2 linked regions of the Danio rerio genome follow. The main gene of each other region encodes a partner of the protein of the gene in region 2 in a complex. Links are inferred from orthologs where the notes say so. Each region holds a gene or a part of one and is shown on either strand. Other genes may lie near its edges.

Region 1 (16,252 bases), on a different chromosome or scaffold from region 2:
CAAAAATTTCCAAAAAAATATTTTTTCACATTGTTATTATGGGGTATTTTGTGTAGAATAATGAGGAAGTAAATTATTTTAATCTATTTTGGAATAAGGCTGTAACATCAAAAAAAAAACAAAGAAAAAAAAAAAAAAGAATCGCTATCAATACTTTCCGGATGCACTGTAAATGTGATTTTGTATGTACTGTATATTCTACAGAGGTGACTATTTATACTATCTTAACAGTTGTTGAACGTTCTAAAGTGATCAATTTTAAGAGATCAACTTAAACAAACAATGTCCGTTGTTTTAAAGGGCACCTAGGTTACCCCTTTTTTCAGATTTAATACAAGTCTTTTGCGTCTCTAGAATGTGTATATAAAGTTTCAGATAAAAATACCCATCAGATTTTTCATTATACCTTTTACAAGATGCTGTTTTATATTGATTTCCAGCAGGGGGTGGTTTTGTCGTTCTGCGCCTTTAAGACGAGTCTTTCCCGCCCACTATTTCTACATGCCTCCTCCCTTAGCTGCGTCAGACAACAGACAGACTTAAAGGAAGAAGGTCTCACGTAGCTTTTGTGAGATACTACAGTAAGAACTAACTTTTACTAATCAGTATTGTGAAGTTGCATTGATGAGTCACACACAATATCGTTACAAAGTTTACGCGCGCGCCCGCGCACACACACACCGCAGATGACACACACACACACACACACACACACACACACACACACACAGGCAGGCAGGCAGACAGACAGAGCACGCTTAGCTTAGTTAGGGCTAACCTCAAGTACTGTGTGGATATCTGTTATGCTAATGTACAAAATAAACCTGATTTAACTTCCACAAACCGGGATTGAAGCGTCTTCTTTTATAATTGTTCTGACACGCGGCTGTGCTGATGAAGTAAAGCTCAAGTAAATTGCTGTAATTAATTACACACATACTCTGTTTTAAAACACTTTAAACATGTGAAACTTACTCTTAATCAAATTTGATGATAATTGCTGATCCTAGCGAACAGAACAGAGCTTTTATTCCCGGTTGCTTTGCGTATGTCTTCCTAGTCTTGTTGACATATACACGCGACTACCGGAACATGTTAATGCGCGCAGCTGTCAATCAATTCGGTGGGCGGGGGGATCGCACACCTACGTAATGGTGCGATCGATTTGAAAACAGCTCCAATTGGCAGACCCTTATTTTTGTAGTTAAATTTAAAAAAAAGGGCTGGGTGTGTTCATATCACCCCAGTATGACGGTCTATACACTATACCAACACACAGATCTGTCCTAACAGCTTGAAAAGTAGATTTTTTACCATAGATGCCCTTTAAAGGCACTTATAGCCTACAACATCATACATCATATGTTAAAATTGAAAGCAGACAAGACAATTCTTAACAGTAGGGATGAAGTTTTGCTGTTTTACTATTATGGATAAGGCTTGCTAAAAGTTATTATGACTGGCTACTTCATATACCATTATTTTTGTGAAAGCATTACTTCTTTGCTGTTTAACCTGAACAAGGAGTATAGATTTAAACTGTCACACTTTACAATAAGGTTCATTAGTAAAAGTTAAGTATTGCATTTACTAACATGAACAAACAATGAACAATACATCTACTACTGTATTTATTCATGTTAATAAACATTAGTTAATGAAAATACAGTTGTTCATTGTTAGTTCATGTTAACTCATGGTGCATTAACTAATGTTAACAAGCATGGACTTGGATGTTAATAATGCATTAGTAAATGTTCAATTATGATTAATAAATGCTGTACAAGTGTTGTTCATGATTAGTTCATGTTAGTAAATGCATTAACTAATGAACCTTATTTTAAAGTGCTACCATTTAAACATCAAATTTTTGTCTTAAATTGCTGGTTAGGAACTGTCCCGACTTAGATGCCTTCCCCTTATCTATTGAATTCAAAAGCTAAAATGTGTCAATCCGAATATCTAAAAATCAAGTAAAAATGTTGGTTTGTTTTCAACTTCAAGGAAAAAAGTCAAAATTAAAAGTTTTTTTGCAGCAGCCGAATGGGTTAAATCTATTCATACAACTCAACCTGCTCCTCTCGATGCTATATCAAAATTACATCTGATTAAAATTAATGACTCCATCATGTTTAAATGAAGCTGGCAGGAAGAGAGCGCTTTCTCACATGTTCTGGTTGGCTGGCAGAGAGAGCGCGCTATAGTTGGAGAGCTGCATTACGAACACGGTGAACCTCTTCTCTTTCACTTCGTACTTCAGGCCAAGTTTGATCTGAGCGCTGCTTGCTGAGCTCCCGTCATCAAAAGCCAGCAGCTGCTCAACTGGAAGCCCAGGCCTGTGGAAATGAACAGAAGCACTTTACAGCCAAATCAGGGATGTCAGTTTCAAAAAATTCCAATGAACTGTGGCTGTTTAAATTAACAATAAACTAATCAATTAAATGTTAACCTTAATTTGGGACACTGAGTATGTTTAAATAGATACCAATACTCAGATTTTAATATGATTAAGATAATACTCTGATTAAGAGTTGACCATGTAAACAGCGATTTTTGTTTACCCTAATAACTGACTAAAGTTATAATCAAACTAAACAGAAATCTATTTAAGACATGTGGAGTAGGGTCAGGCCGTTAGACGATGCCATCGTCCATCGCAGATAGCCAATAGAAAACACGTTGCTGAGCCGGTATCGCCAATCCTCCGCCCCGTTTCCGTCGCAAACCCATTCGCGAAACACTAATACGTCTTAGTATTAAAATGGCCTTTTAGAACGACAAAGATCCACATCCACACCGTGTTTTACCTAGCATTTCTAAACAGCCCTCCGTCAGCTGAAAACGCACATCATGTGACAACACACACACAGCCACGCACACAGACAGCCACACACACTGTCATGCGCTCGTCTGAGCTCTAGTGAGCAGTGCACATCGGACAGTCAAGGATGTACCGCTGGATCACGTCTCACTATAGTTGTTAAAGGTGATATTAAATTAATCTTGTCTCTATCTTACGACTCTTTGGTCTTTTGAATCTATCAGGTAACGTGTCACAGCATCAGTACACTGCTTCAGTCTTTCACTTTCACACTTGTACTTAGTAATTTTAGTGAAAACCTCAGATACTGTTTGTTGTGCACTTTTTTTACCGACCAACCTTCCGCTGAAAAAGTGATTGACAGGTGGTAATTTGTGTGCAACTTATCTTTATTCATTTATGATTTGTTTATGGGTAAAATATGCGGGTCAGGTAGTTGAAACGGTAGGCTACAAATAATTAATTCGTTATGAATTAATTAATTATTCATAAATAATAATTCACCTCCGCCTATGACGACGATGCCATCGTCCATCGCGATGTTTTACATTAGACATCGTACGATGCCAAATTGGTCGACATCGCCGAACCCTAATGTGGAGTATGCCAATTTTAGTCACATTATTGAAGACATGTAAACACCTTACAGGGCTCTAAATGCACCTTTCTTCTTGGTAGCACCGGTGCTCCTAACTTTAAAAATTCAGACGCACAGGTCAAAATTTAGGCGCACCCACCAAAAATTATGTTAAAATATAAAATATATTTTGATTTCGCATAGATAAAATTTCGGGCACATATCCGACCAAAATGATCGGAATTTTCGAGCGCTGTCTTAAGCAAACTATTACCGTTTGGTAGTACTTTTCACTACATTTTACGACAGGACACACACATGGCAGTTGTCAGTTGTTTGATGACCAAAAAAAGAAAAGCAAGAGAGCACTTTTTGGTGCAAGTGGAAAACAATGAGTACGTTTACATGGACACCAATAAGAGTCTGATTAAGAGTCTACCATGTAAACAGCGATTTTTGATTAATTTAACTCGATTAAGGTCCTAATCAAACTCTCAATCAAACTATTACCGAAATGTACGATTTTCACCGTATTTTGCAACAGGATGATATATATATACACACACAGCTGTTTGACAATATTCTCTGCACCAAGTACAAAAATTCCACAGATTTCCTGAAATAAACGTTGAATTTTGAGATCCATGCAGCTCTTTGATAATGTGGAATGGATTGAATGGACACAATATTTCCACTTTCTTTTTTGAAAAGAGAAGAGAACAAAGCATAAATGGTTAAATTGCTTTGCATTTTTTCACAACTGATTATTTAATATGCATCGGTATCTTTGCGTGACAAATGTTTTGAATTCTTTGAAGAAAGAGTAGAGAACCAGTGAATGTTCAACAACTTTACTAATACAAATCTTGTCTAAGACTTTAAAATTGCATAAATTGCAACTGCAAAAAAATAACTAAAAAAAATACAAGTGTGTCAACCTAAAGTGACCTTTTTTGGCATCTAGTACAATAGCCTGGTCTTTAAAATAAAATTTGAAAAGTGTCTTTTATATCACTGACTACGTTTACATGGACATCAGTAATCAAATGATTTACCTTAATCTGAAGAAGACATTAATTTGATTAAGGTGTTTACATGAGTTGCTTTTTGAATGTTCCTTTCATGATTCCGTTTTACATGTTACAGCACATAATTCGTCATTAATGACGTCATTGCATCATCTCACTACCTACAGTGCATCCGGAAAGCATTCATAGCGCTTCACTTTTTCCACATTTTGTTTATGTTACAGCTTTATTCCAAAATAGATTAAATTCATTTATTTCCTCAAAATTCTACACACAATACCCCATAATGACAATGTGGAAAAAAGAGTTTTTGAAATTGTTGCAAATTTATTAAAAATAAAAAAACCTGGAAAAATCACATTTACATAAGTATTCACAGCCTTTGCTAGATGCATTGATGCTGTCACGGTTGTGGATCTATCTGCTCTTCATTTGAAGTGTCTGCGTTGTGTGACAGTTCATTATCATTTATGGTATGTGTTTCTAAGTGTGTGTGCTTCTCTCTCTGTGCTTGTGTGGGACTCGCGTGCCTGTCAGTGGGTGTTTGTTTTCGTGGCATCAGCTGAGCGGTCACATGATCCTTGTTACCGGAACTATTGCGTGTCACCGCTCGGCTGTTAATCAGCGCGCTACAGGTGTAGCGCATTTTTGTGCCTATAAATGTTCAGCGTTCCTGTCTCACTTTGTCAGTTCGTTGTATGCTCACGGTGTTTTGTCTTTTGTCAGGATCCTCTCGCTGATTCTCGCTGGTGGTGAGTGGCTCGGTTGCTTCCTCGTTTCACTCTCAGATGTTTCCGGTTCCTTTGATGATGACTGTTTGATTCACTCTGTTGACGAGTGTCATGAACTTTCTATCGGCGCTGCCGACCCAGATCGCTACTGTTATTCCTGCTAAAAGACTGTGTACTTCCAGCCACTCACCATTTTCTCTGTCTTTTTCTGTGATCTTCATTAAAACACTTTCACTTGCAATTGGGTTCCACGTCCTGATTATTGAGCGTCACAGATGCACCTTTGGCAGCAATTACAGCCTCAAGTCTTTTTGAATATGTTGCCACCAGCTTGGCACACCTGTCTTTGGGAAGTTTTGCCCATTCCTCTTTGCAGTACCTTTCAAGCTCTATCAGGTTGGATGGGAAGCGACAGTGTCCATTCATTTTCAAATCTCTCCAGAGATGTTAGGATTTAGGTCTGGGCTCTTGCTGGGCCACTCAAGTACATTCACCAAGTTGTTGTGAAGCCACCGCATTGATATTTTGGCAGTGTGCTTTGGGCCATTGTCCAGCTTTAAGATGAACCGTCGCCCCAGTCTGAGGTCAAGAGAACTCTGAAGCAGGTTTTCATTCAGGAGATCTCTATACATTGCTTCATTCATCTTTCCCTTTATCCTGACTAGTCTTCCAGTTCCTGCTGCTGAAAAACATCCCCACAGCATGATGCTGCCACTATCATGCTTTACTGTAGGGAGCGCATTAGCCTGGTGATGAGCGGTGCCTGGTTTTCACCAAATGTAACGCCTAGCATTCACTCCAAAGAGTTCAATTTTAGTCTCATCAGACCAGAGAATTTTGTTTCTTATGGTCTGAGAGTCCTTCAGATGCCCTTTGGCAAATTCCAGGCAGGGTGTGGCTTCCGTCTGGCCACTCGACCATACAGGTCTGATTGGTGGATTGCTGCACAAAGGTTGTACTTCTGTAAGGTTCTCCTCTACAGACAATTCCTTTGTCTTTATGCTTGATTTGTGCTTTAAGCTGCACTGTCAACCCTGGGACCTTATATAGACAGGCATATGCCTTTCCAAATCACAAATTTTGAAGAAACAAATGAGTTGAATCTATTTTGGAATAAAGCTGTAACATAAAACAACGTGGAAAAAATGAAGTGCTATGAATACTTTCCGGATTCACTGTACATTTCCTTTGGAGTTTCAAGTAATTCCAGGTGTTTCATTTTTACTTTCATTCAGGAACATTTCATGAACGTCAGCCGTGACAAACTAGATATTGGATGCGAGTACGAACTGCTAGAAAAATGTAGTTTTTATGGAATTTGATAGTGTAAGCCATATAAGGACAAAAAAAAAAACTCAGCATTTTGCAATGCAGGTCTCTCGGTTGGTGCAAAAAATAGTCAAACAGCTGAGTGTTTAGACTATCCTGTAGCAAAATGCGATGAAAATCAAACACGGTGGTAAAAACATGTCTGTGATGCACTTCAATAATGTGATTAAAATTGGCATATCCACATGTCTTAATCCAATCTCTGTTTAGTTCGAATACGACCTTGAGCATTGTCTTAATCATATTAAAATTGGATTATTAGTGTCCCCATCCATGCACTTATTTATAAGTTGTGCAGATAAAATGATTACTCAATTAATCATTAGCCAATTAATCAATTTGTCATTTTAAATACAAATCCATAATAAAAGGTCACAAATTCTTGTATCCTACCTTTTCTCCGAGGGCTCATATACACCGCTGTCACCTGCAACCGATTCGTCAGACACTGCAGATGTTACTCCTGCTTTCTTCGATCCAGGCCCTGATCCTCTTGTTTGCGTAACAGCATCTGCATGCACAGAGAACAGTTGAGAAGAAATGAGACACGAGTCACTCTGGATTGGTGTCAAGTTTCGACTGAGTTCACCTGCTGGGCTGTTGGGGGGGAGTGAGCTGTAAATCTACACTATCGGACTAGACATTCAGAAAGCTGATCTGGATTCAGCTGGAATTCCGGGCTGCTGATGAGTAATAAAGGGTGCCCATGATGAAGATGAAGACTTTTTTTAAACATATTTTATACCTTTTCAAGTAAAATTTGAGAATATTTTGTTTTCTACAATTGTTATGTGTGTGGATATACAGTTGAAATCAGAATTATTAGCCGCCCTGAATTATTACCCCCCTGTTTTTTCCCAATTTCTGTTTAACGGAGAGGAAATTTATTCAACACATTTCTAAACATAATAGTTTTATTAACTCATTTGTAATAACTGATATATTTTATCTTTCCCATGATGACATTAAATATAGTAAATACAAGACACTTCTATACAGCTTAAAGTGACATTTAAATGCTTAACTAGGTTAATTAGGTTACCTAGGCAGGTTAGGGTAATTAGGCAAGTTATTATATAACGATGGTTTCTTCTGTAGACTATCGAAAAACAATATAGCATAAAGGGGCTAATAATTTTGACATTAAAATGATTTTCAAAAAATAAACACTGCTTTTATTCTATTCAAAATAAAACAAATAAGACTTCCTCCAGAAGAAAAAATATTATCAGACATACTGTTAAAATGTCCTTGAGGCCGTGAATACAACATTACATGAAGACAAAAATGGCATTTTTGAGGTGAATTATACCTTATAAATACAGTATGTGACTCTTTCAACACCATTGGTGTCCACGTTGCTGAACAATGTATGTAAAACAATGTGAAGACATGCACGGCTGCCATCGCTTCTCTCCTGAACTTGAAAATATGATTGGTAGAATCGTAGAAATGCTGGCTTAAGATCGTCTAGCGGGTCAAATCGAGATCGCAATCTTGTTTTGATTAATTGTGCGACTCTAATGCTGGGTAACAGGTAAAGCTGTCAGATGAAAGAAATCATTTATTAAAAATGCAATATTAAAAACCATTATGCTCAGAAATATGTTGAAAAAGTCTCTCAGTTAAACAGAATTTGGGGATTTTTCTATAATTACAAAATGTATTAAATTAATTTGAAAAAGTTTAAATTTAAGAGGAGAGCGAATGGAACTAAGAGCTAAAAGACTTTAACTGTAATAAACAAAATATGCAAAGTACAAACAACAAAATCACCTGCAGACTAACCGATTTCTCAGCTGAATACTCAATGAACCATTTATTTTTATTCTTACTCTTTTTATTCTGTTTATTCACTGGATTATTACTATTGAGTCACATCACTTCAAATTTTACAGCCTGAACATATTGTTGTAATAAATTTTAAGATCTGCACACAGTCATGAGGGTTTGCCTGCAAGAGTTATGTCTAGACCAGGCTATGGCACCAAGCGACTAGAAACAGAATCCACTATAATCAGTAAACCCTTATTTCTATTTCAGACAAGCTCCAAGCGCTACTGACAGAAGGACTAATGGATCTGCAATGGTGGCGTTGTTACATCCAAGTTTCCAGCCATGTCTGATGTAGACACAGGGTAACATTTTGCATCAACAAACCTATAAAACTAGCTATCTATGCTATAGTAAATGACTGTTACACTGAAAAACTACATTAGGTTATACAAAGTTTAACTTAATATGTTTAGTCAGTTTGATTGATTTGAGTATGTCTAGAAAAGTTAATTTAGTTAACTTAAAAAATTACTGCTTTACAGTTTAGTTTTATGGACTATTAGTATGCTTTTATTTTACACAATGTCCAGAGAAATGCTTTACAGGCAAATATGTTCTGTATTCTAAAAAGGAACTTTACTAAAGCACATTTTTAACATTTTCACATTATCAATGTTTTATATTTGCCCTTTAATGTGCATTATGCAGGTTTTTGCTTAGATTGTGTGCACTATAGACGAATTACCAGTTTGTAAACATTCAAGATGCGCAAGCAGCGAGGTTGCAGAAAAAACAGAAGCACTAGCATTTACAGTGAGGAATTGACATCCGATATGGTACAGAGTTTGTTGTTGCATTAGAGATAAGTTATATTGATAACATATTATGTATTTGGATCATGACCGAAAGGACAAGATCTCGGATACAAGCGGCCGAAATGAGTTTCCTTCGAAGGGTGGCAGGGCGCACTCTTATGGATAGGGTGAGGAGCTCTGACACCCGGGAGGAGCTCGGAGTAGAGTCGTTGCTCCTCCACATCGAGAGAAGTCAGCTGAGGTGGCTCGGGCATCTGCTTCGGATGCCTCCTGGACGCCTACCTAGGGAGGTGTTCCAGGCATGTCCCACCGGGAGGCGGCCTCGGGGAAGACCCAGGACACGCTGGAGGGACTATGTCTCTCGGCTGGCCTGGGAACGCCTCGGGATCCCCCCGGAGGAGCTGGAGGAAGTGTCTGGGGATAGGGAAGTCTGGGGTTTTCTCCTAAGACTGCTGCCCCTGCGACCCGGCCCCGGAAAAGCGGTAGAAGATGAATAAATGAATGAATTTACATAATGCTTTCAGCGTATTATAACAGCTTGTCAACCAGTGATAAGTACAGTTATTCAGCAAAATTAACGTTAAAGTGAGCGGCGTTCATCTGACAGGTCCATTTGCGATAGAACACTGCCAATGGATTTTGGATAAGACGAAATGGCCAAGCATCCAGCCCAAAATATACAACTATCTCATTGAAACTCCAAGTGATTTTACAAGAGAGAAGCTAAAGGCCTACAAGTCTTTGAATCCCAACAATTTTGTTCTGTGGTCATGTGCAAGAAACAATGTTCCATGACTACCAGATTCAAAACTATGTGGTGCTAAAAAACGAAGGTCTGCCTAGCCAAAGACAAGGAAAAAAGACAGAACTGTGCAAGGCCTGAGCAATCATCAACAAGCAAAACAACTGCATTCTGACAGGGAACTGCACCTGTATGGCAGGGTTTGTGAACTTAGATTTTTATATTTCATTCTAAGTATTTAGTGTCCGCAGTTTATTTAACCATATTTAACTGTTTTTGCAGAAATCATTGCTGTAATTAAAAATGAGTAATGTGTATAATTCAGCATTATTTTACCTAAACTCATATAAAATGAGAACAGAGTCTAGTATTTTTAATTAGGTCCTCACTCCATTCAGCTCTTATGATGGCTGTTAGCCAAAGACAGGCACGTGCACACATAGAGCTCAACCTGTGCAGTGCACATGCCCTTTCTAGTCTTTGACAGAAAGTGCCCTTCCAAAATGATCAAAAGTGCCCCGGTGGCACCCCCCTCCCCCCTCTACCGCCCTTCAGTAGGAACGCGACAACACCGCTCTTCAGTACGCGCGCGACCTCAGGTCTTCAAAAAATAAAAAATAATAATTTCCTGCACATGCCCTTTGGACAGTCTCTGCACGGGCCTGGCCAAAGACATCTGCAGTTGGCATTAAAAACAGTGTGGTGTACGGTAAAATTTAAGTTCTCTATTTTTGGACTTGCAATTTTGCCATCCTACCGCACAACAAGACATGTTTGCTATTGCAACTGGTCTTTTTTGCAACAGCTATGCGCGGTTGAACCCATGTGATGTCATGTGTAATGTAGGTTGGTAATACCCCTATATACACATATTTATCATTTCCTGTTACAGTGTTTGTTACTTTAAATTCACAAATGTAAATATAGCAGAATTTGTGTTTAAAAATATATCCCAGGTTTACGAAACTAAAACTTTAGGATAGATATAATTTTAATCAGAGCAAAATCAAATCGAAACAATATGAATAAAAATCTCAATAAATTGCCAAATTGATCAGAATGCCAGCTCTATTTTCACCTTGTGGTACACTTGGGAATGGATTGCCAAAAATGCATCTTAAAATGTTAATTGCAAACCCCTGAGACTTTTGTTCATCTTTGGAAAACAAATTAAGACATTATAGATGTTTTATCTGAGAGCTCCCTCATCCTCCATACACAGGAATGGTCCAAATTAGTTACACATTACTGCACAGTGTGCATGAATATGCGCAATATACTGACACTGAGGGGTAGAAACTGTTGAACAAAGTCTTTGTTTTTGTTTTTGGTAACAAAGAAAAACAAATTTGTAGCTTTGTAACTTTCGTACCTCTGAGTTTGAGGATGCATTTTGGTACTTTTTTCAACTTTGAACAACTCGTAAACCTTGCTGTCTATAAAAGTTTAAGACAATGTCTTGAAACTAAGACATATTTGGTATTTTATCTGAGAACTCCATCATCCTCCATAATAAGCAACTGTCCCAATTTGGTATATTTTACTTCACTGTGCGCATAAACATGCGCAATATACTGACACTGAGGAGTAGAAACTGTTAAATTAAGTCTGCATTAGTGTTTTCGGTTACAAACAAAAGTATTTTCGTAGCTTTGTTACATCTGTAGCTCTGTTTTGAGGATGCTTTTTGGTACTTTTTTGGACTTTGAACAAGTCGTGAACGTTGTTGTTTTTGGAAGTTTAAGACAATGTCTTCAAATTAAGACATTTTTGGTATTTAATCTAAGAGCTCACTCACCTTTCATAGACATCAACGGTCCCAAATTGTTTTAAATTACTGCACAATGCGCATGAACGTGCGTAATATACTGATACTGAGGAGAAGTACCTATTGAATAAAGTCTGTATTTTTGTTTTCAGTTACAAACATTCGTACATCAGCTTTGTAACATTCATTGACTTGGAACAAGTCTTGAACCTTGCTGTCTATGGAAGATGAGAGAGCTGTAAGATTTCACCTAAAACATCATGATTTACTTCTTCATAGACAAATGAGAGTCTCGGGGGTTTGGAAAGACATGAGGGTTAGTAATAAAGAATCCAATTTAAATTTTTGGCAGAAAAATTACCCTTGGTATTCATGGACATACATTAACAAGCGTTCAGCGGATTTGATTTTGAGTGTCGTTTGAAGGTTGTGCCCACATACCTTTTGAAGACTCTACAGCCATAATGCTTTCTTGTTTGTTGTCCTGGTAGTTCAGCTGCCCCTGCTGTTGGTCCTCTTCTAACCGGAGCTCCATCAGCCTGGTCTGCAGATCTAAATCCAACTGTGAGGCCGGACCAGAAAAGACCTCTCCCGAAAGGAAGGAAGCCTCAGTAACAAGAGGAGAGCAAGGAGGAGACAGGGAAGACAGTGAAGAACGTGGGGACAGTGAGTTCATTGAGTGAGGTGTCTCTGACAGTCGCAGAACTTGGGTTCTTTGTCCCACCCCGGGACCACCCCCGATTTGCACAGACGAGGATGAGACCTCATTCTCATGGATGGTAGTGATGGAACTAGAAGGCCTGTAGCCAGAGGTGCTTCCCTCCTGCAAAATAGAGTCCAGTTTGTTCTGGAAGTCAGGATCGCCTAGTTCGGGTTGCTCCAGGTAGACATCGGTGAAGCTGAGCGAGGAAGTGGAGCCCAAGCTGGAGTTGGCCAGGGATCCCCGACTGGACGTCAACGATCCACGGCTGCTGCCCGAGGAACATGACAGAGTGCTGGCTGACAGACTGGAGTTTTGACATTGATGGAAAGAGACAGAAGGAGAGCAGGGAAGTTAATCGGAAAGCAGCTCCGGTTCATCTCTATTTCAAGCCTCTACATCAAACGCATCCTGCTTTAAAGCAAACATGCTTCTTATGGCACGACAGGCTCGTTAGTGAGACACACAAGAGACTGCTCCTCTGTGCAACAGGCCCTTTGATGTATCTCAACTAGACGCCGAGGATGAATTAGGCATTAGTCATAATAAGAAGTAAGGGCAAAGCTATTGTTAAAGTTAACAACAAGAGCTTTCGGGTGGCATAGTTTTAGAACTTCAAGAGTCTGATTCTTTAAATAAGGCTAAGCAGTCTTATTGCAAAGTCATTACATCATATATAGTGGCATGCAGTTTCCTCTTCATTCTATTAATTAAATCTGCAGCAAAACAAGTTACTTTTTCGCCTTTTATCTTAATATTCACACTATTAAAATGTGTTTAAACTTGATGCGCAGTAAACCAGCGTCATATATTTTTTCCTGTATTTTACATTGTAATTACACTAGTGCATTTTTTGTTTTAAACCAAATACATTCAAATGAAAATGATCCTCATACATACTTGCATTTTTACAAGAAAAATGATCTCCATATACACTATACAGTGTAAAATGCATAATATGCATAAAATGTTATTCACGCTCTTTGGGTATGTGCACATTTTTGCCACTATTCGCACTTCCTTTGTCCCAGTTGCATTTGAGAGTGATTTGACGAACCCAAGAACCATACACAATAGCCTAGAACAGGGGTGTCCAAACTCGGCCCTGGAGGGCTAGTGTTCTGGAGAGTTTATGTCCAACTTGCTTCAACACACCTGCCAGGAAGTTTCTAGTATATCTAGTAAAAACTTGAATAGCTAGTTCAGGTGTGTTTGATTAGGGTTGGGGCTAAAATACCTGGAAACCTGCCATCCAGGACCAGGTTTGGACACCCCAAGCCTAAAAGACCAGTCAAAGAGTTATTGTACAGTACATCTGCAAAGTATTTATAGCTCTTCACTTTTTCCACATTTTTTTTGTTACAGCCTTATTACAATGTGTATTAAATTAATTTATTTCCTCAAAATTCTACACACAGTACCCCATAATGACAATGTGAAAAAAGATTCTTTGAAATTGTGCAAATTTATTTAAAAAAAAACCCTGAATAATCACATGTACATCAGTATTCAAAGCCTTTGCTCAATACTTTGTTGATGCACCTTTGGCAGCAATTACAGCCTCAAGTCTTTTTGAATATGATGCCACAAGCTTGGCACACCTGTTTTAGGGAATTTTAGCCCATTCCTCTTAGCAGTACCTTTCAAGCTCTATCAGGTTGGATGGTAAGCAACGGTGTACAGCCATTTTCAGATTTCTCAAGAGATGTTCAATAGGATTACGGTCTGGGCCACTCAGTTCCTGCTGCTGAAAAACATCCCCACGGCATGATGCTGCCACTACCATGCTTCACTGTAGGGATGGTATTAGCCTGGTGATGAGCGTTGCCTGGTTTTCTCCAAACATAACTCCTGGCATTCACTCCAAAGAGTTCAATTTTAGTCTTATCAGACCAGAGAATTTTGTTTCTTATGTTCTGAGAGTCCTTCAGATGCCTTTAGGCGAATTCTAGGTGAGGAGCGGCATCCGTCTGGCCACTCTACCATACAGGCCTGATTGGTGGATTGCTGCACAGATGGTTGTCCTTTTGTTCTCCTCTCTCCACAGAAGAACGCTGGAGCTCAGACAGAGTGACCATCGGGTTATTGATAACCTACCTTACTAAGGCCCTTCTCCCCCGATCACTCAGCTTAGATGGCTGGCCAGCTCTAGGAAGAGTCCTGGTGGTTCCGAACATCTTCCACTTACGGCCCATTCACACGGGGCATCAGCGTCAACGCTTGACTGAAGGCGTGTCTGAAGTTGGGGCTAAAGCAATCATCATAGCAGCATCAGCCAATGAAATTCAGTAAGCAGTACGCCACTGTCTAGCAGGTGTATTTGCACACAGCGATCTGATTTGCTGACCCTTCCGTCGGTGCTTGAAAAGTTGAGCTAGTCCCAACTTCTGCAGCGAGCAACGCCTCTGAAGTGGCACCGCCAGATCCACAATGCAGTTTGGCAACGCCTGACATCACCCATTCAAAGTGAATGGGAAGCGTTGACGCTGACACCCCGTGTGAATGGGGCATCACGGATGATGGAGGCCACTGTGCTCATTTGAACTTTCAGAGCAGCAAAAACTTTTCTGTAACCTTCCCTAGCCTTGTGCCTCGAGACAATCCTGTCTCGGAGGTGTACGGACAATTCCTTTGTCTTCATGCTTGGTTTGTGTTTTGACATGCACTGTCAACCCTGGGCCCTTATATAGAAAGGTGTATGCCTTTTCAAATCATGTCCAATCAACTGAATTTATCACAGGTGAACACCAATTAAGCTGCTGAAACATCTCAAGAATGATCAGTGGAAACAGAATGTACCTGAGCTCAATTTAGAGCTTCATGGAAAAGGCTGTGAATACTGATGTGATTTTTCAGGTTATTTATTTTGAATAAATTTGTAACAATTTCAAAAAATCTTTTTACACATTGTCATGATGGGGTATTGTGTGTAGAATTTTGAGTAAATAAATTAATTTAATTCATTTTGGAGTAAGGGTTTAACATTTTAAAAAATGTGGAAAAAGTGATGCGCTATAAATACTTTCCGGCACAGTAAAAAGCCACTCCTTTATTTTCAAAAGTCTGGGTTTTGATTTGTTTACACTAAACACCAATATTTCCAACTAAATCAAGGTGTTCCGCCAATATTATAATATATAAAGTGTTATTTGCATTGTCAGGGTTTTTTAATCTCAGGTTTGGAAGATACCTTTTCAGCTGGGTGTGCAGGGAAGACGCCACCCTCACCGTCTCTTCCAGTTCCTTCACTAGTTTGTTTCTTCTGTAGTGCAGCCTCAACCTAAACAAAGCAAGAGAGAAAAAAATGATCATTGCTCATTATTATGGTTTATAATTTGAACAAAAACATACCTCCTCAACAAAGGCTTGGTGATAAATTTTCAAAAGCAAAAAAATATATATATATATTTATTTATTTATTTTTATTTTCAAATAAGTATATATTTAATTAACAACTTTTAATTCTTGCAAAGTTCCTACAGAATAAAATAGTTCAAATGAACTCAGTTTAGTAATTAACCAATGTCTCTATTTTAATAAAATGACGCTGGTTTGCTATTAAACAGCAGTGCTAAAGAAGGTGCTCATTGTATTCAACCTAGATCCAGCGTTTGTGCGGCTCAGGTTACAGGAAGAGTGCAGACGCCAAGCTAAACGAGGATACAGTATCTAGAGTAGAGAACAAGGACCCTGTTCAAATAACTGAGAGAGAGCGAGTCAGAATAAGATCAGCAGAAAGAGTGAAAGAATGAAAAGCCTAATTGGTTCTCTCACCTGGGCAACCTGATCTCATTATACAGTCTTTTAAAAGTGCAAGAGCAGAAGTGGTAAACTAGCAGTCAAGCAGACTATAATAAATCATTTGCATGCATGACTGTCAATGCCTGCCATTTTAGGCAAAGATTTGCAAAACCCAGCAGCACAGTAATCATGGCTGGGACTTGCAGCAAAGTAAACGAGGGACA
Region 2 (16,825 bases):
AGCAGCACTGTACATGTGGCACACGTCACTTTCACGTGAATGTGTCCATAACTGCTGGACATTGTGCATGTCATGGACATATATTTAAACATGCACAGAGCCAGTTCGGAGGATAAATAAAATGCAAGACTGAAACATGAACGTCGTACCGAGTTGTATTATATTAAGTATTGCGGCATAACTGCTCAGAACAGACTATAACTTATAAAAGAACATGAAATGAACCTGAAAGTTTAATTCAAGCCACAGAATGTAATCTTGGCCACTAGAGGGCGTGTATTCACAATGAACAAAGGTTTATTTTCATGACTGAGTGTGGAATCATGGGAGTTGTGGTTTCATCATCCTACCGGAATCATGTTAATGGATGGAACCCTTATTATTAACAGTTGTAGTATGGTAGTACAAGTGAAACACTCCATCTCACTAGTTAAAACTGATAACTACCCTGATTCAGTTACTATGACCATTTATGTGAAGCTGCTTTGACACAATCTACATTGTAAAAGCGCTATACAAATAAACCTGAATTTAATTGAATAATAGGGTATATGCGGAAGTATGCTAAAGGACTTTTAATTTGCCAGTAACCTAGGTTAAGCGCTTCCGGTGAACTGTGCGGCATAGCAAAATTGGCTTGTTTAAGGTCTGTTTTCTTTAAAAATAAGCGATCTCCACTGGCTGAGTGATATATGATATAAAGTGGGTCTCAGATTGTACAAGAACTGCATTAAATTACATTTCCCCCTGCCATGTCTTTATAATATAAGCATTTATTTTAACCCAGTATATTCGATGACGCTTCTGCGATATACTGCCGATTCTGACGGGAGCGTGCAAGTAAACGACTTTTTGTCTCGTTTTACGCTTGAGCAACTAAATGAATGTCAAAATCTATTTAACTGAAAATATTTTGATTACATTACAACATCAATGCTGTAAAAGGAACCGTATAAAATGGATAACAAGTCACATTAACCGTTCACCAGATGTTTATCGGTATGAGAAGAAACACTAGCTCCGCATATACCCTATTCCTCTTGATTTGAACAATCTGTATAGCTTTTAGCATAATTCAGTACCCAAGTCAGCAAAATATTTGTTTTAGTATTTTTTTTTATTATTATTTTAATGACAAACCGTAAAAGTTGTACCTTTAAAGTTTGGTCTAGATGTCTGCCAAAAAACACCAAAATCTGTTTTGTCAACCAATATGCAAATCTGGCAATTACACAAGAAATGCAGAGCAGTAAATCATATAGACAAAATATGTCCACCATCACACCCACAGCATTAGAGTATGACACGTCACCGAGTTCACTACAACAACCAGTGCTGGTCCGGCAACATACCACGACAGTCATTCCTCAAATAATCCAAATTATAAAGTGACAGAGGGAACATTCCTGATACAAATGATTGATACACCGCGTTTAAGGTTGAGAGGACACAAAAACAGCTCACTTCCGTACATTCGGCTCCGATTAAAGGGATAGTTCACTCAAAACTGAAAATTCTGACATCATTTAACCATCTTTCACTTGTTCCAAACGTGTTTGACTTCTTGTGTTAAACACAACGGAAGATATACTAAAGAAAGGTGGAAAACTGTAACCATTGACCTACATAGCACAGCACAGATTTTTTATTTAATGCCATGTCAGCAACTATTTTATGCAAAAATGTGAAAAGAAGCGTCTCAGCAGAATGCAGTCTATAGAGACTACAGTGCTCATTTGTGCTTCATCTAAAACTCCATATTTATAATCCTCTCAGTCGCTGACATTATCTTCAGCAGCTCAAACACTCTAATAGTGAACGGCTGCTTCTCACTCAGGGCTGTGTTTGCTATTGAAGGCGAGATGGGCTGTTTCTCAATATGCATTCTTGTCTGTACTTTCGTTCTTGTGTCCTCGTGAAAGTCATCAACCGTTACCGAAGTACTATTCCAATTCAAAAGTTCACATCTTGCCAGAGTACAGATAAAATTCCCGCATGTGTACTTGTTCCGTCCCTTTTATCCGAACTTGAAGCGCAGGTATCCCAGAATGCATTGCAGCCCAAGCAGGGAAAGCTAATGGCGAAAGATAAAACCCGCACGATTTTTAAAATACTCCTCTGTTGTCACCAAATAAAGTTTTTAGAGTTTTTCAGGCGATAATATAGTTGTTTTAAACTCGAATCGACAGTTTGTTTATAAAAATAGCGCGCCTTTGGCGATGTGGCTCAGCTTATGCGGACTCTGATGCCCCATTCACATAGGGCTTCAACAACAATGCTTGACTGAAGGCGTGTCGGAAGTTGGAGATGAAGCGATCGTCATAGCAGCGTCAGCCAATGAAACTCAGTCAGCATTAGGCCACTGTCTAGCTGGTGTATTTGCATACAGCGATCTGTTTGATTGACGCTTGAAATCGGCGCTTGAAAAGTTGAGCTAGTCCCAACTTCTGCAGCGAGCAACGCCTCTGAAGTGGCGCCGACGGATCCACAATGTAGTTCGGCAATGCCTGACATCGCCCATTCAAAGTGAATGGGAAGCGTTGACGCTGACGCCACCTTGTGAATGGGGTGTGACCCTCAGCCTGTCAGCGAGAACTTAGTCATCACCTCCTCTGCCGTAAGCTGCTTTAATCGGCCAGTCTATCTCGGATATACCGCATCTCTCCATTGTAGTTAAAACATGATATTTGATTCATCTTTTGCATATCTAATGGACAGTTTTTGGTCATTTATATTTATTATTTGTTCTCAGGTGTATTATTTTGTCAGTGTTATTTTGCTAGGGTTTATAATAGTCTTTAATTATGTTACTATGTTGTACGAGGTTTGTCTTTGTTTACCAAATTGCCTAACGTTATCTTTATTTCTTATTGTGCACGTCTTGTACTTTATACTTGTATAATTTCCATTGTAGTTTATTAAATCTGATAATCAAAGACATGAGTCTGTGTATAATAACACATTTTACTTTACATTTATATGGATTTGTTTACATTTTCTAAAATTAAAAAAAATATTGATTATATTATAAATATTAATATAATATTATTTATAAGGCTGTGCTTTATACAATTAAATCATTTTATTGTTAATGTACAGTGAAACCGATAAATCCATGGTGAGGTAAGTGACGCTATAAAGTAAACTGCTGTTCCATTTCTGTCATCGGGAGTTCGTTCTTCCAAGTCTGAACTTTGCGTACTTGGTATTGAGAAACAGCCATGGTCACTACTCACTAGTGGGCGGGGCTTTCCCTCTCTGATGACACGTACAAAGGAAGAATGTCAATCAAAGTGTTTCTGCAAGTTTTTATTAATTCTGATTATAACAAATAGTTTTAATAAATGCTTACCCTAAAGGCTGTAATCGAAAGGTTGCAGGTTCAACTCCCATTCCTCTGGAAGTAATGCTCACTGTGTATTTGTGTGCATGCTCTTAGGATGGGTTAAAAGCAGAGGACCAATTTGGAATTTGTGTAAAACCATGCTTGACAAGGCCCACTTCTATAGAAATTTGTGGAAATTGACATCCTAGCAAATTTTCATGTTTGTGTGAACTGCCCCTTTAAAACTCAACCAGCTGCATTACCTCATCAAAGCCGGGCTCCTGCGTCTGGAGTGTGTGTTTGCTGCTGTCTGCGGAGCTGTTGTCTCCGCTGGAGGAGCTGTCGTGGGCGAACGGCTGCAGGGATTTGCGGATCTCCTGCAGGGCTCTGTGGTGGTGGGAGTTTCTGGGGTTGGTGCTGCGCCCCTGCTGTCGGGACTCATCCGGCGGGCCCTTCCCTGAGCTCTGCTCCGGCTTGGACGCATTGGAGGACGGGGAGAGGTTTCGCAGGCTCTCTCGGATCTCCTGCAGCATTTGCTGACTGTTGCCGCTGTTGTTGCTGGCAGGGAACGTCTTGGGTCGCATTTGTCTGTATCCCTCGGGTTTCTCGGCCCTCCTCATGTAAAAGCATATGTTAAGTGCCAAGGCGGTGAAGAGCGAAGCGGTCCAGAATCCAGCGTCTGTTTCAACTGCAAACTGAAGGAAACACTGATGAGCGGTCATCAACAAAAATAAACAAATATTGTCATTCATTCATTCATTCATTTTCTTGTCGGCTTAGTCTCTTTATTCATCAGGGGTCGCCACAGCGGAATGAACCGCCGACTTATCCAGCATATGTTTTACTCAGCAGATGCCCTTCCAGCTGCAACCCATCTCTGGGAAACATCCATACACACTCACACACACATACACTACGGACAATTTAGCCTACCCAATTCCCCTATAGAACATGTCTTTGGAGAAACCGGAGCACCCGGAGGAAACCCACTCCAACACTGGGAGAACATGCAAACTCAACACGAAAACGCCAACTGACCAAACCAAGGCTTAAACCAGCGACCTTGTTGCTGTGAGGCGAACGTGCTACCCACTGCGCCATTGTGCAGCCCCAAAAAAATAATAGAAAAATCTAAAAATAATTAAATCACTAATTTTGTCAAACCTTTGTAATTAAATCTGTAAATAAATTTGAAAAATGTTGGAAACCTGTAACCATCGACTTTCATGGTATTTGCTTTTTTTCTACTAATGATGTCAAGTTTCCAGCTTTCTTCAAAATAACTTCTTTGGTGTTCATCAGAATTAATAAACTTATAACTTTTGGAACACTCGAGCGGAAATAAATAGCGAGTTAATTTTCACTGCTTGTTTGTTTGCAGAGCAAAAAATTGTCTTGAAAACTGGTGACATAAATACATCCATACAAACCGCTAAAAACACAAGCATAACAACAACAACACATCATATGACAATTATACAAGTTTAAATATCACTTAGACTCCTTTCATAATCAGTTAATTCTCAAGAAAATAAATAATAAAATTGCTATTAAACAATGTTACGATTTAAAATCACAACCGCAATTGGGACTGGGCATGGTATAAGCTGCTATAAGTTTGATAACCTTGGATAAAAACACCACGGTGTCAGGGTATTGTGATTACTGCTCTAAAATATACTCTTTTTAAATGTCTGGGTAAAAACTGGGTTCATCTCGTCAAATTTAAGATGTTTTAAGACCTTTTTAAGACAAAATCAATCAAATTTCAGACAATCACAGGGCAAAACGCTAACAATTTTCTGTAATAACAGTGAAATGTTTTGTACTTGCCAAATTAAAAATTAAAATTAACTTATTTCTCAGCCACATATTTTAATAAATTGTGTCAAAACAAGCAAACTCTAGTTATATACATATATATATGTTTTAGCCCAACCTTTCTTTAAAAAAAAGACTATAAAAAACTATAATAAACAGGATTTTTGCACAAAATAATTACATTTTTTTAAATGTAATTTTGTTTTCTAATGTTCAATAAAATGTCTTCTGAATTCTGAGGTCTTAATCAAGGTTAATTTTTATTTTCAATGTAACTACACCAACATTACAAAACGCTATATTTTGATGTAATTTTTTTAATCGACACTCACAATGAGATACTCATCTACAAGTCTTCTGAAAATCAAAGCAAAACAGAATATTTTTCACAAATCCAATGTAGCATGAACAAAAAATATTATAGCAATGAGAAATAGCAAAAAATAATTAATTGAAGACAATCAGAATGCCTCAAAGTTTTAAAAGCTACACAAAACAACATTTATAAATGTATGCATTAAAGCATGAAAACATGGAGAACTTTTAAACAAATGTTATTGTAAGGATGTAATGAAGACAATTAAACCATATTGCTAAATAGTTATTAGTTAATGTTAACTTTGCATAAAAACATGGAGAACTTTTAAATGAATAAATTAAACTGCATTAATTTAAATATATGTTATTGTAAGGATGTAAGGAAGACACTTAAACCATATTGCTTTTCGATTTTAATTCAAATTCAATTAATCTGCACACTCCAAAAAAACAATAATAATCAAAAGGATAAGAGTTGGCGCTCGATAAAACAAAAATTATAGATTTTATTTAATTTATTATTTTTAATATTTATGAGGAAAAAGTGTCATTATAGATGTGACAGATGTGAAATTGCCACTTGTGTAACTTCGGTAAATCAAATTGAATAGTTTGAAAACATTGACACATGCAATTTTGGGTATTTCTAAAGTACTGTAAAATGCTTGCTTACCCAAAAAAAACCCTGAAACGGTGTATGTTCTTTGGTGAAAACTCTCTTTTTTCCATGGCAAGAATGACATTTGCATGGGATTGTCCTCCTACAACTAACAACAACACTGATAAAAAATATATAATGTCAAAGATCTTTAAATGTGATCACTGATTAATAATCTTGAAAGCCTACATCCTTATGGAAACATTTCAGAAGCAGAGTGGGTTTTAGGGAGAACTTTATCTGCTATAAACATTATTTCTAATATTGCATAATCAATAAGTATTTTTATTTAAAATAAAAAAAAATTGCATAATCAAATAATAAAAAAGTTAAGAAAATTAAGCCTAGTATGCTGCATGCATTGCGTTTCTTTTTCTAGATTTTACTGTTTTTTTAGTTATGTTAATAGCTCACGGTTTAGATCCTGCTTTTCTAAAGCTCACTAGCCCATAAACAATGCAGACTATAAATAAATAGCCAACTGAGTGACCAAAAGCAGTTACTGTTGTGATAAACGGGTTACTGTAAAGGGATAATCAAGCCAAAAATTATAAATGTGTCATTATTTACTTTCCATTCACTTGTTTCAAACCTGTGTTTGTTTATTCCATTGAACACAAAAGATCAACATTGAAGAAAGTTGGAAACCTGTAACCATTGACTCCCATAGTTTTTGTTTTCCCTACTAGTCAATGGTTACAGGTTTCCAACATTCTTTAAAATAAATATTTTATATTGAACAGAATTGGAACCGCTTGCGGTAAATTAACTTAAATAATGAATAAATGATAACTTTTTACATGAAAAATCCCTTTAAGCACGAGTCCCCATCCTCACCTAGACAGCATCACTAAGTAGGCACCTCAACAGGTTTTTGAAACACAGTCCCAGCGTTCAGTAGTTTCACACAGTGCTAACGTTAGCTCACTTAGCCACTTACTATCGCCACACAACACCTTTAAACCCCCCAACCATCATTCACACCATATAAAATCCCTTTAAACCTGATAAATCATTTATGAATCGCTCCAACAGGTGACTGAGGCCTAAAGCTGAGGCGATAGCATACCGCTACCACACACCGAATAATAAGACGAACTACATCCACCTACCTGCTAATGCGAGCTCGGCATGACGCTTGTACAGGTGTGTTTCTCTCCGTGCTGTTCGATAATCAATAACTCCTGCTCGGAGTCTGACAGATACGTGTGTTTGTGGACGCACCGCCTGCTTCTCTTTGGTATTTACTGTCGTCTTGAGTTTTACAACGGCTGTCATGCGCGTCACAGGAGCCCGGATGTTGTTGTTAAGCCCCGCCCCCTCAGGAGCCGTCTTGAGGCCCGGGGCCCCTCTGGGCGCCTGCAGCTTTATTATATGGACACAGTTGCATAACAAGAGTTTTTATGCAATAATATGTTGATTGTAGCAGTTTTATATACACAAATGTAGATTTGTTAAAGATACTCCCTGTTACACAGCGCTTAAAATTAGTTGTTCATTGGATGAAAGAACATTTGAGAGCAAGCGCCGTCAGAAACAGCAGACAAGCACAGCTTTGAAAATACTGTGGTAACATAAATATTCATATTTTAAAGATCAGAAAGAGTTGAGAGAGTGTGGAAAACGCAAATAAAAAAAAGTAGTGATTTCTTAATTTACTTTGACTTGTGTTTTATTGCCGACAATACTACAAACATTATTTAATGTGTTCCTTGGGATTTTTATTGTTGTTTTTTTTGTAAATAAATCTGTATTCCAATGAGGTGACACAGTGGATTCATCTTTTTAAAACGAAGTATTGATTTCTTAATTGACTTTGACTTGTGTTTTATTGCCGACAATACTACAAACATTATTTAATGTGTTGCTCAGGGTTTTTATTGTTGTTTTTTTGTTTGTAAATAAACCTGTATTCCAATCAGGTGACACAGTGGATTCATCTTTTCAGAATGATTTTTGAAATTATACTTATTGCAAGTTTTAAATAATAAAGATAAATATGTTTTGTTTTAAAAAATCATTTAGCATTTTATACGAGTAAAATATTGTATTTTATTAAATAAAAAATATACCAGTTATAGTTGCATACGTTGGCACACACATTTTAAATAAAAATCATTAAAAAAATAACATGCAGTAACACAGCCAAGTGTAAAGTGTTTATGTAGATGTAATTGTGTAGATTTGTAAAAATTTTGTCAAAATAAACAGTCAAATCAAGCATACAGTACAGTTAAGGTCAAACGTTATAATTCTTTTGGAAAATGTCATTAATTTATTATTATTTATTATTAATTTATTTATTTGCCAAAATAAGAGGGATCACACAAGACATATGCTTATGTAAATGCAAACTTTAATATATTTCAGATAAAATAGAAAATTTTATCTGGATAAAAAATTCCCCTATATATGAATTTCATATAATTGATTATAATGATTCTTAACCCTGTTAAACCTGACTAAATTTTCACAATTTTTGGAACTGAAATGTTTATTAATCCTTCTATAAAGATCCATTTTTATACCATATAGCAGAATTCACCAACATGGTGCCCGCGAGGATCACATGATTGCCTGTGGGCCTGTTTTAAAATGAGCTTACCATAGCACCACATACCAGTAAGCTGCATCTAATGTTTTTTGAAGCTACAGTATTCTTTTTTAAATCACACTCGCATTGGTGTAAAATTGAAAATGACATAAAGTTATATATTTAAAAAACTTTAAAAACAATTTCAGACAAGTGAAGTGTTGCATATTGATATTTATCTTTTTCCAATCAATGTTGACAACTATTGTGAGAAATCATTAACATGATCAGTGCCTTCACATAGATGAATATCTATTATAATAATATTATCTATTATTATATAATTATTATTAATAATAATTGAGCAAATTTGTTATTAGGAAGTGTGTATCAAACTGGTAGCCCTTCACATTAAACGATACCCAAGAAGTAGCTCTCAGTTTCCAAAAGGTTGGTGACTCCTGCCATCTATCTTGATTTTGCATCATATTAATACATCAGGCCTTTTTTGCTCAAAACTATTTTAGTTTACAAAAACAGTTTGCCCATAACATTTTAATAAAATAGAACATTTCAGGCAGGTTTTCTCTGTTTATTTTTTACACAGTACATTTTAAAGTCTTTGTTTCAGTCAATTGTTAATGCAAAGACAGACCTTAAACCTCGCATGTGGGAAGTGATTGCATTCGTATGTTCTTTTGCCCTTTAGGACTCCCTTATAAATCATTTTGTTTTCACAAATGTGCAAAAAGTACAGAAGCAAGGCATGTCAAGGTGTCACAATCATTTAGTGGGGAAAATTAAATTGAGAAGAAATTTGGGTTGGGATGAGAAGTAATTCTTTGTGACTTAACAGGCTTAGTGTAATTATGCTTTTATACTTCATACTATTTCAGTTGTGTTCGGTTTCAAAACTAGAACCTGCATACCTATCAGTAAATGTGCAGTTGCGCCCCTGGGCCCGGTTTTTCAAAAGGTTTAATCCGGATCAAATTTATCTGGATTTAGTAATCCTATTTTTGCCATCCGTGATGACGTAATCCAGCTTACTTTTTGAGCCAGTTTTTTTAAAGCAACATCGGATTGGATCAATCTGATCCGGATAGGAACTTTTCAGGATCACTAAATCTGGATAACCAGCGCTCAAACAGGACATCACAATGTAGAACTATAGATATGTAAAGAGCAGCTAATAGAATAGGCACCTTGGGGCCAATATAACTTCATTTTTATTTGAAATGAAAACACACACATTTGAAAAAAACTAAAAACAAGAAAAACCCCACCCCATCCTCCTCCAGCAGACAACTCATCTGAGATCTACAACACAAACACTACATTGAGGATATTTATAACAAGTTTCAAATATAGATGTACTGAATTTAAAAAAAGACTTAATGTCAAAACCTCCTGAGCTGTGCTTCTGCTCTTTCAGTCTTTTTTTGCATATGTTGAAAGTGATTTTAAAAATCAGCGATTGCCATTCTTTGCATTTTTCGTTTTTTTTTCTAGTTATTCTGTAATCATTGCATGCATCACTAATAAATATTCTGAAAACTAAAATATTTTTCATTGTGATGAATATATAGATTAAATATATAGATATCAATTAGAGACCGAATAAAATTGATTGCTTTTGGTCAATTTTTGACAGCTGTTTGGGGAATTATTTTATGGGGCCAAACTCTTTCTACTTTGCTGTAGGCCTATACTGAGAGGCTGAATACGTTAAAGCCTACTGTAGCCTGGCGGAGGAACAAATACAATTAAATCCTTACGAATAAATAGGATATCTTGTAAGATACTGCATGATCTAAATATAGCATTATTTGATGAATTTTGTAAGTTTTCATTACATTTTGGGCATGAAATCCACTCTGAATCCACCCTTCTGATGGGATCAGTTTAATCCAGATTTTTTGGATCAAAGTGATCCAGATCCTACAAAAAAAAAAGATCTGAAAAACCCAAACTAAAGGTTTGATTCGGATCAAAACCAAGATTGGATTACGTGATCTAATCCGATTATGTAATCCGTTTTTTCTTTTGAAAAACCCATTTTCAAGATTTGATCCAATCCCTTATCCAAAATCCCCGTGGATTACTTTAGAAAAACCGGACCCAGGGCTACTTGATTTCGTAGCTACTTTGGTTTTACTACAGTAAAAACATAGTTAATGTTCGTATGGGTGTACCTGGGTTTATTCCTTCAGTTTTAAATAGTTTACTAGTGTAAATGAAGTTTTGCCTGTCGTCGCGGCGGTGTTTTGTATGCTAATGGAGTTTCGACACCGCATTGTCTCGAATCTCCCTGATGACCCACACTGGCCCTGATGTCTGTTCGACAACACGTGACGCCATCAATACATTTAATCTACTCTGCTGATTTTAACGGCAAACAGGACCATATAAAAGAGCAGACTCGACTCACTGTCTAGCACATCGTCTCAGGACATCGAGGCTGTATTTGGCAGAAAACAAACCTTAAAAACACCCCAGTCTGCGGATTATTCAGCATCTCCGAGGACTCTCAGGTATTGTAGTTGTGCCTTTTTAAACCCATTGTTTACGTCATACTATTTTTACAATTGGCTGCCAATTTTAGGCAACATTAAACAAGTGACGTGTTCGCTTTAGTTACATTTTTATATGCCAATAACTGAGTTAAGATGCGTTTGAGTAGGCTAACAATGTTTGTTTCAGCTACTTTAATCAATGCAATTTAGATTAGTTGAGTCAATATAACAGTCTTAATTTTGCTTCAGTTATAGTAATTAACCACACTTATTTTACATTTCATGCAATAAAAAACAAAAACGCTGGATCACTGGTGTAACTTACTGGTTTAATTATGACATTTTCATTGTGATTTTTGTTTTGAACCAAAATAAACCTCGTTAATGTGAATATTACTATTATACTGTTTACTTTACTTGCACTGTAAAAATGCTGGCTTCCGCTCAGTTTTTGTTAGGACAACATAAAGGAATTAAGGTTAACTTATTAGTTTTTCCAAATGTAAGTGATTTGAAAATAAAATAAGTAACTTAAGCTGTTAAACAACTCAAGAGTTGTAATGTTTCAGCTCATTTAAAATGAGTAGTTTGTAGTTTTTTTGAATGCAAGTTATATAAATGAATCTTAATATGTTAGTTTGTAGAGAATTTAACTTTATTATTCCAGTTCAGGGTACTTTAATAATGTTTAATAAAACTAATAATGTTTTCTGTCAGTCACTTGTGTACTAGACTAGTACACAAGCTGAGCTCAGAACTGCATTTGGATTACTCTTCTGCACAACAATAACCTTATAACTAATAATATAATATAGATTAATAGAAATAATAAATCTAAAAAAGAGAGAGAAATCTTTCATCTATTCACTCTTTGCTTGTATCAAACATTCCTGTTGAGCACAAAAGAAGATTCCCTGAAATATGTTGGAAACCTGTAACTTGTCTTCCACAGGGTTTGTTTTTCCTTCTATTGAAGTCAATGGCTACAGGTTTCTAACATGTTTCAAAGTATCTTCTTTTGTGTTCAACAAAAGAATCTCCTAATGGTTTGGAGTATGTAGTGAGTAAATCTTATTTTTTTGAGTGAACTAATCCTTTAAATTAAAATGACCAACAGTTTTATTCTGAGTTTGTGTTTCCTAAAATCTCCTCTCTCATGTCTGTGTTTTCTGGAAGGCTTTCAACGCAGCGCTCTACATGGCTCTGTCAGGAGAGGTGTGTGTGGTGACGGGAGCCTGCGGGTTTCTAGGAGAAAAGCTGGTCCGACTGTTGCTGGAAGAGGAGAATCTGTCTGAGATCCGGCTGCTGGACAGAAACATCCGCTCAGAGCTCATACAGACGCTTGAGGGTTAGTGGACATGAACATTACACGCTCTGCAATATCAATCCTGTAATTAGTTCTTTAATCTTTATTAGTTTTGTGCTCTCATCTTCTGTTTGTTGGCATTCTTCCTAAAAGAGAGACTTTAGTCTATATTAGGTGTTTGCTTCGACATACAGCCTAAAAGTCCAATTAAACTATAGTGTGTATTTAATAGACACTAATGCCTGAAAGTGAAGGATATGCCTACTGAAAAAAACAGCCTAGGCTGGTTGGCTGGTTTTAGCTGGTCAACCAGGCTGGTTTTAGAGGGGTTTTGGCCACTTCCAGGCTGGTTTCCAACCATTTCCAGCCTGGTCTTAGTTGGTCAGGCTGGAAAATGACCAGCTAAAACCAGCTTGACCAGCCTAGCCAAGCTGGGATCCCAGCCAAAACAGCTATGTCCAGCTTAGACTAGGCTGGTCAAGCTGGTTTTAGCTGGTCATTTTCCAGCCTGACCAGGCTGTTAATGGCTGGAAACCAGCCTGGAAGTGGCCAAAACCCCTCTAAAACCAGGCTTGCCAACCAGCCTAGGCTGGTGTAAGCAGTTTTTTTTTCAGCAGGGATACAGAAAACAAAATCTGTTCTGCAAAATTCATCATTTATATCATATAAAACAACTGCCATCGCTTCAAGGAGGCTGTCTTTGTTCATCTTTTGTTGAAATAGCCCATATTAAAACACAATTCCTGACCTAAATTATTTATTTTCACCATACTGGAGCCCATCATGGTTTACTGCATGCCAGAATCCAATCATTATCCATAAAAACACTGAAAATAAGTTTGAATCATGAACTAATTGAATTAAATGTATGAGTTCGGTTCACTGACATGCATCTATATTAAACAAACAACACAAAAGCCGACATCCTTTCTTCTAATACCCTTTTAAGCGTCCAAAAATGCATGCAATTGAATGTGTTGCTGCTCTGTGTGCTCAGATGGCCGTGGAGAGACTAAAGTGAGTGTTATTGAGGGGGATATCCGAGACCGAGAGCTGCTGAGAAGAGCTTGTAAAGGAGCAACTCTGGTTTTCCACACTGCGTCTCTCATTGATTACAATGGAGCCGTTGAATACAGTGAATTACATGCAGTTAATGTTAAAGGTAAGGGTTTCGTGTGTGTATAAAAGAAGTTTTAATCCTAACACCTGCAACTTAAATTTGTGAAAATGATGAAGTTAACTTAATCGATTTGTGTTGGGACAACATGAAGAGATTGTGTGCATCCCAGCACTCTTACAGTGTGTTTCTATTGTTTGTCTTCCTACGACAGCTACACGGCTCCTGCTGGAGACCTGCATCCAACAAAGCGTGTCCTCCTTTATATACACCAGCAGCATTGAGGTAGCGGGTCCCAATCGCTGTGGTGAACCCATCATCAACGGCCACGAGGACACGCCTTACTACTCTTATCCTATCAGCAACTACAGCAAAACCAAGCTGGAGGCGGAGCAGATCTGCCTTCAGGCCAATGGAGAGCTGCTGCGGGACGGAGGACATCTGGCGACCTGCGCTCTCAGGCCCATGTTCATCTACGGGCCGGGTTGCAGGTTCACTTTAAACAAACTCAGAGATGCGATCCGCAGTGGAAACGTGCAGCATCGACTCTCACAGCAGAGCGCAAAAGTCAATCCAGTGTATGTAGGAAACGCCGCCCTGGCGCATCTGCAAGCAGGACGAGCGCTCAGAGACCCGGAGAAAAGAGCGGTGGTGGGGGGAAACTTCTATTACGTCTCAGACGACACGCCGCACATCAGCTATTGTGACTTAACCCATGCTCTCATGTCACCTTTAGGATTTAGCATCCAAAACAAGCCCATTCTGCCCATCTTTCTGCTGTATCTTCTGGCGTTCTTCATGGAGATCCTGCAGGCCGTGCTCCGACGCGTCCTGAGATTCACTCCACCCCTAAATAGGCAGCTAGTGACCATGGTGAACACCCCTTTTAGTTTCTCCTATCAAAAGGCTTGCAGGGAGTTCGGGTACAGTCCTCGATATGACTGGGAGGAGGCACGCAGGAGCACTACTGATTGGCTGGCGTCGGTGTTACCAGCTGAAAGACGATTGGCTAACAAGACTTGAGCGCTCGTGATGGTTATGATTAAGACTACCCTGCAAAACGTGCTCAGTTTTTCCTTGTTTCTAATTCACATCTCTATAAAATCTTCAATCGAAAAGCATATATGGGCATGTAAACATGGTGGTGTGTTCAGAGTTTGTGTGTTGAAGCTAAATAATCTGCTGGTGGTGTTAGTACAATAATCCCACCTCACACTGAAAATAAGATTATTCACCCCTTTTGGCTTATTTTTTTGCTTGTCTAGAAAATGCCTCTTGATTTAAGCGTTTTTAAATATTTAGACTTGAAAGCCAGACAGTAATTGTTTCAAGTCCAAATATCTAAAGTCTTAAATCAAATTGCATTTTCTAGATGAGCAAAAATATTGTCTTGTTTTCAGGAATAGGAAGTCATAATGAAGTGAGTTCTTCCTTTAAAACAAGCTAATCAATCTGCCGATAGGTGAGGAAAATCAGGGGCGCAACTACACATTTACTGAGGGGTATGCGGGTTCAAATTTTGTGTGATCCCTCTTATTTTATATTAATTAATTAATAATAAATGAAGACAAATTTTCAGATTAATCTTATAACTTTTGACATTATGTATGATTTGATAGTTTATTTTGATAAAAACAAAAGCAAATCTAAACAGTTACATCTACATGAACACTTTCGGCTGTGGGACTGCATGTTATTGTGTTAAATGATTTTGAATTAAACAATAACAATATTATATTCGTTTAAAATGCAAAATAATGTTTTTTAACAAAACATATTTATTTATTTTTATTATTTGAAACTTTTAATAAGGATAATTTTAAAAAATAGTTTTGGCACAACGGCGCCCCCCCATGTGTGGCGCCCCTATGCGCCGCATATACTGCATACCCCCTTGTTGCGCCACTGAGGAAAATAATTTAATTTCTAAAGGAAGTAAAAACCAGATGATTTAGCTTATTGGCAGATTATTTTCATTTGGACTCATTATTTCTGAAATGTTCTGCTTGTTTGGGAAAATGCTTCTTGATTTAAGAATTAAACCTTTCAGTGAGAAAAACACGTTTTGCAGTGTAACTGGTGTGGATCAGCATGACTGAAAAAATCTGGTAAAGCAGAAAATCTTAATAAATGCAGATTGAAATTAGAACAAGATAAAACATATAATCCCTGATGATCGAGGTCTTGGAAACAAATATGTGACGTGTCAATGTCTGGAGGAGAACTTTTAAAGCTCCATGACCTGTGCGAACTCTGGTTATGGCATTTTGTGGCTCCTTGTTGGTTAAACGTGCCAATAATTAATAATACAATATATTGTGATTAATGTACACTGTCAAACAATATCCATAAAATGATCTGTTTTCTGTATTTTGTGACTCATGTTTTTATTTTGTGAAGTTTATTTATAAACTAATTTCGAGAGGATCACGTGCTTATGATTGATCACAGCCGGTGCTGCATTATCCAATCTATGATTGACCAATCAGATGATTCCCAAGCCACTTTAAATACCCTAAGCTCCATATCACAGCCATCTTCGTTTTGAAGAATCCACCCCTACTCCTCCTCCTTTCCTAGATGGTCTGTTGCCTCACAGCAAGAACGTCACTGGTTCTAGTCCTTACCAAGCCAGCCGACATTTCTGTGCGGAGTTCACACATTCTCCCCGTTCTCACGTGGGTTTCCCGGGTTCCTCCCACCATCCAAAAACATGCAGCTTAAGTTAATTGACTAATCCAGCACCATAGACATGCTCCTAGTCAGTAGTTATCTCTTAAGAGCGATCACTATCTGTTCATTAGCTACTACAGCAGGGAAGTTCTCCCCATCTACCTGAGCTCAAACTCCTCTCTCGCCTTGCAAATGGGAGGGAGCCCTGGGCTTGAGGATCTTATGAGCTCAGGGCTCTCTCCCAGGACAGCATGCCAAACATGCTTTGTAATCACTCATCAGCTAAGTGTGAACTCTTGAGTCCCAGTTTATTATTATTTTTTTTCCCCCCGATGCTATATTGTTTGTGTTGTGGCCCGTTTCCACTAAGTGGTACCGTTCGGTACGCTTTTATTGTCGTTTCCACCATCAAAGGGTACCTAAAAGCGAACCGTACCACTTTATGGTGTAAGATTTATTTTTATTTGTGTATATCTTTTGTTTGTTTTTAGGACAACAATATCTCCAGCAGAAAAGATGCGGTTTTATATTAAATTTAAACCAATGCAAATCGCAAAT

Evidence for each region.
Region 1: the proteins of lats1 (region 2) and wwc1 are in contact, whole or in part, in a crystal structure (PDB 6J68), measured with the Mus musculus proteins. The link is inferred for Danio rerio from reciprocal best matches to the Homo sapiens genes LATS1 and WWC1. Residues at the interface, in NP_034820.1 of Mus musculus: Ala546, Glu547, Ala548, Pro549, Ser550, Tyr551, Gly553, Pro554, Pro555, Pro556, Pro557, Tyr558, Leu562, Leu563; in NP_740749.1 of Mus musculus: Asp17, Tyr23, Ile25, Asp26, His27, Arg30, Thr31, Thr32, Ser33, Trp34, Asp64, Val67, Tyr70, Ile72, Asp73, His74, Lys77, Thr78, Thr79, Gln80, Ile81.

What each region holds. Positions count from the first base shown.
Region 1 is NC_133196.1:40,165,497-40,181,748, forward strand, and holds part of wwc1 (protein KIBRA), read right to left. Parts: intron 15,568-16,252; coding exon 15,478-15,567; intron 12,595-15,477; coding exon 12,029-12,594; intron 6,998-12,028; coding exon 6,880-6,997; intron 2,337-6,879; coding exon 2,169-2,336; exon of another isoform or gene 1,835-2,168; intron 1-1,834. UniProt on the Homo sapiens protein: Regulator of the Hippo signaling pathway, also known as the Salvador-Warts-Hippo (SWH) pathway.
Region 2 is NC_133195.1:1,306,723-1,323,547, forward strand, and holds the start of lats1 (serine/threonine-protein kinase LATS1), read right to left. Parts: upstream 7,392-16,825; 5' UTR 7,235-7,391; intron 4,021-7,234; 5' UTR 3,946-4,020; coding exon 3,589-3,945; intron 1-3,588. Other genes in the region: hsd3b2 (3 beta-hydroxysteroid dehydrogenase/Delta 5-->4-isomerase type 2), read left to right, coding at 13,450-13,639, 13,809-14,617. UniProt on the Homo sapiens protein: Negative regulator of YAP1 in the Hippo signaling pathway that plays a pivotal role in organ size control and tumor suppression by restricting proliferation and promoting apoptosis.